Linked DNA regions of Kluyveromyces lactis. The protein of the gene in region 1 interacts with the protein of each later gene in a biochemical or structural test. Links are inferred from orthologs where the notes say so. Each region holds a gene or a part of one and is shown on either strand. Other genes may lie near its edges.

Region 1 (3,779 bases):
TAGCGGTAGGAAGCTGCACTGACAATGACATCTTACCGAGAGCTCTTGTGCGACCCGGAAAAACCTTAGAGATAATAAAGGACAGTTCAGTACTTTTAGAGACGCTACCAAAAATTTTAAGCGGACGACTAATACTTAGTATTACCGCTTCTGCTCTTGTGTGTCCCACCTTATATATATAGAGAGCCGTTACTATGAGAATAGTCCTGTGATTTCTTTATCTCATCGCAGTAGTCGATTAAATGTCAGACTTTGAATTTTGTTGATTTTTTAATCAGAACTACCGAATTAGGTATTTACAAGCGATATATTAGAATAATGTTACATAGATAATATATACAATGAAAAATGTATATAAGTCAAACTGTGGGGTCAAGGGGGTAAGGATGGATAAGGCATTTTCAAAAAATATATACCATTCTAAGAAGACAGGCGTGTTTACCGTTTGAAAATAAACGGCCTTGTTTTCCAAGATGCACCCTGATAGAATGCGGAATAAGACTCGTTCATAAATGTATGGATAGTAAATCGTTAGATGAGAAAGGTTTGTTACATGTAGGACATTTTCTCATCCTAGCAGCTAATCTTTCTTTGCAGCAAACATCGCAAAACACATGACCGCAAGTCTTGAGGGCAGTATTCTTCCAATTTTTGGAACATAATGAACAGTAGATTATAGTACGGAAATTCTCTAACTCTTCGGCTAGAGCACCATTGTCACCACCATTAGAGAGTAATGTCTTGTATAATTTCTTTGACTTGGCTTCAGCACTGGAAACCTTGATCTTCAGCTGCTTGTTTTCGATATCTTTGTCCTTGATTTTAGATTCGAGCTCAGTCTTAGTTCCGATTAGATTTCTGGTTTCTGATTCAAGACGTTCTGTTGATTTTTTCAATTTATTATTCTCAGATGTCAATTCCACTATCTTCATTGAAGTTTCTTTGTTAGATTCTTTGACCCTCTTCTCATTCTCTTGGGATAGGCTCAACTGCATGTGAACGTTTACGATCTTCTGTTGTAACGTCTTTTCAAGGTCCTTCAATTGAACGATGAGCTCGTTTGATTTGTTCAAATTTTTAGAAAGATTTTTGTTTTCTATCATTATAGCATCTTTGGATCTCATTGCAGCAAAATATTTTTCGCTGGCCTTTGTCTTTTCAACTGTCAATTTACTTAAAACAGATTCTTGGTTCAGGTATGCAGCATACTTTTTGTTTGAAAGATGTGACACCTCTCTGAAGGCCTTTTCGAGATCCTGTAATTCTTTCATTAATGCATCTTGGGACGCATTTTCTGAACTTCTGGATTCAAACTTTTGTAGTTGTTCTTGTTGGATATTCAATGACTTTTCTAAATCCTCTAACATCTCAGATTTGGTCTTTTGTGCCTCCAAAAGAGAAACTTTGGCCAATAATTCATCACGAATTGTTCTGATCCTAACTAAATCTTTCTCTAGAGAAGCATTGTGCTTTTTAAGGGTCTCCTGTGCTAAATTAAACTCTGAGGTAAGTTTATTGTTGAATATTTCTCTATCCGCGGATAGTTGTTGAAACTTGGTTAAGTAGCCTTCATTAATCTGTTGTAACTGTTCATTCTGTTTAGTTAAGGAACTGATTTTTTCATTAGTAACTGAAGCATCTGGTTGATGTTGCGAATTAGATTGAAGTTGGTTGTTAGAAAGCGCTGATTTATTAGATGCTACTGTTTGTCGTAGTTCCGAAAGTTCTCTTTCATTTTGATTTTTCCATTCCGTTAATTCCTTTACCGTAGCCTCCAAGACGGAGATTTGAGTATTCAAGTCATTTATTTCAATTTCGTGGTGAGCCTGAGATACTGCACTTTCTTTATTAGATTGGGATTTGTCTGAGTTATCATTTGACTCGTCATTCACAGAGCTTGCGCCAGTCGAAGATTGCTTCTCTTTCTTTACATTGCTATCATCATCAGCAGTGTTAAACACACGAGAAACACTTTCACTGTCCTGTCTATCATACTGAGCAATTATATTCTCATAATATTCGGTAGCCTTCTTCAGCTTATTTTCAGAGGATTTCAACAGCTTCTGTAAAGTCAAAGTGAGCGATTCTAGCTCCTGTAGTCTACCGATGTTATCAGAGATGTTAGATCCACTGGTCTTCAGTATTAGTTCGCATATCCTAGCACTGTTATTGCTGATTATCTGTGTAAGGGTATGCTCATCCTCAGTATTGATGAGTTGTTGTAAAAAGCGTTTGTCCTGCTCATCGCTGCAGTCCTCAACCACAGATCTAGCCAATACGACTATAGATGAACAGCATCCAGAAACCGACTCGGTGGTCTTCGAAAGCCCAGCCGCTAAAACCTCATTCTCTTCTACAAGCTGGTTAGCTTTGACTCTCCACTTATTCAAACATCTGAACAATGCCTCTTTTTGGAACGCTATTACATCCTTCTGCGTTAACGGCTCAGAAGGATCGGAAAGCTCTAGCTTTGGCCGCTTAACAAAATGGTCATTCATATATGCGGATTTATGTATAGGTCTCAGAAAACTTAGAGCTTGTATGACAATGTGAGCAAGTACAGTAAACCTTTCGTGAATTTCGTAAGCTCAGAATATCACACTGATAATCAGTCTCAAATTATATATCTCTAGATGTGAAAGACTGAAAAAAACCCTCCCACACTAAGTATTTTGCAAACTATAATGTCAGTAATACGTCTTGCCGAGTAGTACCCTTACAAGGCGTTCGAGATACCTCTTCAAGACCGACATTAGTGATGCTATCTTGTCAACTTTTAAAGTAAAACCTTTTTAACTTTTTTTCTTTGAAATATTTTTGGCGAATTTATCGAAAACCAAGGTCACGTGAAGGTAGCAGCAAGTAATCCATGTTCGCAGGGTGGAAAAAGGAAGTGCCAGGCAGCACTTTTTGATAAATTCATTACATGGTAAACTCTTGGGCTGTGTGCGTTCTAATGTGATGGGAAATGGCGTTGAATTTGATGTTATTACATGTGTTACTAATAGATTCTTGTTGTTTTTAGTATACAAAGATTTTTCATTCCGTTTCAATATAAGAATTTCTAAGATCTGAGATCCTTTAAGTTCACATAAAATATATAAAGTTTGTTTCTATATTCATTCAGTATTTTGTGTAGAGACAAGAGAATAGCAGTGGGACCAAATCCAATTGTATTATTGTGAGAAGCCCTAGTGATTGTATCAACACCTGGTGTAAAACGTTCGCTTTGATTATTTCACATTTCATAAGGGATTGCCAAAAGCTCTGACGTCTGTGTTTTGAAATCTTTCTGTCTCTGGGAACAAAAGTAGATTCTCCAGTTCTGACCCAAATTTAGATCTCAGAAAACATTTTATTCGTTCGATAGTTGCCTTACGTGCTTGGGGAAAGGTTTCGTACATGCGGTTAGAGTTATAAAATCCTCTTTTGAACGACCTTTCAGCCAGTAACCTAAGAAAGTTACCAATTAATTGAGATAGAACACTTTGAGAACCAACAGTAAAAGAAATCAAGAACAGACAGATTTAACATGGATACTGGCAGGCAAGATATGCATCTTTTGAATTCTTTGAATAAATTCATTAACCTCACAGCCTCTTCGGGTTCTATTGGTCACGGACCTGACCATGGGTTGTCTGTGTCACAATTGAAAGTGGTGACGAATTTCCTCCGATTGAATTTATTATCGCTATTACGTAAACTGGAACCACTTATTGAAGTATCCTCAGAAGAAGAACTACGTAACAGGCCTAAACAAGATGTACTGACTCAGTGGT
Region 2 (2,471 bases), about 590 kb from region 1:
TACCAATACCGTCACTAGCACCAGTAACAACAGCATATGCACCTTTCCCCTTACCGTACTTCTTAAAGTCTGGACCTGGAAGAACAAACAAGTCTAAGACCATCTTGCTGAAGTTTAAGGTCAAAAACACCATCTTTGATATACCTAACCCGAAAACTATCCATGCAGCAACATTTAAGGAACTGCATTCTCTCAATGCTGTAACATTGTATAGTTGATCAATTAAAGCCACCATTTTGCACTGATCACTGATCCGTTAACAGAGTTTGCTACGGTTACCTGTGACAATTATTCTGCTCTGCCAATACTTGCATCGCGTATTACTCTACTCTTATGTCCCAAACTTTCAACTTTTTATTTCAATTTCTTTAGGATAGAAAATTGGATACCCGTTGGAACACAGTAAGTGACAAAATGGAATATATATCTAGCTGGAATGGTAATGATACATGGCAGTACTCTCATTGATTACATGACTAGTACTATTTATGATTCGAGTATATACTGATGTTCTATTCTTCCTTATTAGTTCATTAGTAGACTATCTAATTTCTCCTGCGTGAGCTGAACATTCAAAGCATCTTTTTCGCACTGCGTGCTCATTAAACCCAGCTCTAACTCGTCTTTGAATATTTTCAATTTGAGTTCTTCTAGTTTATTATCAATCTGATCATTCTCTTTGTACACCTCTTTGAGTTTAGATGTCCTGGAGTGATCATCGTTACTCATCATGTATATGAACGGATTCTCGTCCTTTGGTATGGTGAACTTTTTCTTTGGTTGTTCGTATTTGGGACTTGGATAAGAATTCCGGGACACCGGTAACACATTTGATCCCCGCGAGTACGCCGATGATGATGATACTGATGACGCCGTGGATGGTGGTGGCGCTGGTGGTACAGACTGCTGTCCGTAAGGTCTTCTGTACGTTGAATTCGAACCGTATCTACTATCGCTGTGTTGGTATGGATGGTAGGAACCTCCCCTGTACGTCTGTCTCTGCACTCCGTGTGCATGAGTGGGCTGACCGTATCCATACCCCTGTTGTTGATGATACCCCCCGTTGTTATAGTATCCTCCATCTTGTCTGTGATTCGACCTGTATCTTGGCGGACCTCTGTTATTACTATTAGGCTGATATCTGTTTCCAGAGGGCTTGTATCCATTGTAGTTTCCTCCGGACCTATAACTAGATCCTCCTTCGTTTGGTTCACTCATTTTCCGATACTGATAGGAGATTATTCACTGCTATACTATTGGATGAACAACTGCCTCATCTCATCTACTGAGCAGTGTCTCTCTTTCTAAATCTTCGTATTTGACTGCATTTCCAACTTTTTCAATTTTAAAACTATGTGATATTAGTCACGTGAGTTATATTGGGCAACTGCTACTTCAGAGCTGTGAGAGGAGCGGATTAAGAAGAGAATGATTTGGTTTAATTAGTCGGGAATATATAAGGTGCAAATTACATTAGTGTCATGATACGATTGGAGCAGTGGTTATATACCTGCTGATGGTATAACGTATGAGAGTCTCTCAGATTATTTTTTTATCTCAGGTCGCTTCGTTGACCCATCTATTTAGATCGTTGACGATCCGAGTTCTGAATTCCTTGTATAGCTGCTGTTCTTGCAATTCGAATTCTTTCTTCATCGAATCACTGATATGGATATGTATCGGTTTCATCAGATATTTGTGTCTCCAGTCACGGTATTGGATTAAGTTTTTGAAACGAACCAGTTGACAGTTCCGGATATCTAAGACTTTCAGATTTGGAAATCCATGCTTGGCAACGATATCGCTAATGCTACTATCTGATATTTGTGTGCAGCCATTTATTGACAATCGAACCAGCGTTGTTGAATGTTTGCTGTACAGTTGCCATATTGATACGTCAGAGATCTTGTCGCATCCTGAGAAACCGACCGTAGTAAGATGTTCTAACTCAGATAGTGCCATGATTGAAAGATCAGTAATCAAATGCGAGTTTTCATGACGCCCCAAGTTTATACTTTGTAGTTTGGGACAGTGCGTTACGATAGAAACGATGGAAATGTCACTGATCTGAGAACATGCACGTAGGTCTAAATCTATCAAATTCGGCAGCCCCAAAATCAGTGAGATTAACTCTTCGTCATTGATTTTCTTGTTGCCAGCTATCGTTAGTTTCGTTAAGTTGTTTGAAATGGTAACGTCATCGAAGATCGCTGGTAAGACGGGACTGATGTAAAAGTTAAGGGAATTGAGTCTTGTAAACCTGATACGGGGCAATTGATTTTCGATAAAGTTTCTATGCTGTTTAAGCTTGTAGAAAGTTAGACTCTTTGGATGTACTTTCTGGTCCAATTCAACAATCTTCAAATCGCCGGAGATAGAAGATTGTTGAATCACCAAATCCTTATTAATGATGCTTGATGCAACAGCAGCCCATACCGGATTGACTTTGGAACAACGGTAAAGGGACTCAT

Evidence for each region.
Region 2: the proteins of BRE1 (region 1) and LGE1 form a complex in vitro, tested with the Saccharomyces cerevisiae proteins (2 studies listed by BioGRID, with this or other methods). The link is inferred for Kluyveromyces lactis from reciprocal best matches to the Saccharomyces cerevisiae genes BRE1 and LGE1.

The regions. Positions count from the first base shown.
Region 1 is NC_006038.1:267,292-271,070, forward strand, and holds BRE1 (E3 ubiquitin-protein ligase BRE1), read right to left. Parts: upstream 2,499-3,779; coding exon 507-2,498; downstream 1-506. Other genes in the region: DUS4 (tRNA dihydrouridine synthase), read right to left, coding at 1-31; AHK1 (Ahk1p), read left to right, coding at 3,533-3,779. UniProt on the Saccharomyces cerevisiae protein: E3 ubiquitin-protein ligase that mediates monoubiquitination of histone H2B to form H2BK123ub1 in association with the E2 enzyme RAD6/UBC2.
Region 2 is NC_006038.1:857,605-860,075, forward strand, and holds LGE1 (Lge1p), read right to left. Parts: upstream 1,219-2,471; coding exon 526-1,218; downstream 1-525. Other genes in the region: IFA38 (ketoreductase), read right to left, coding at 1-235; AMN1 (Amn1p), read right to left, coding at 1,558-2,471. UniProt on the Saccharomyces cerevisiae protein: Required to activate transcription of PDR3, a gene involved in retrograde regulation of multidrug resistance, a phenomenon that takes place in cells that have lost their mitochondrial genome. Also required for ubiquitination of histone H2B to form H2BK123ub1.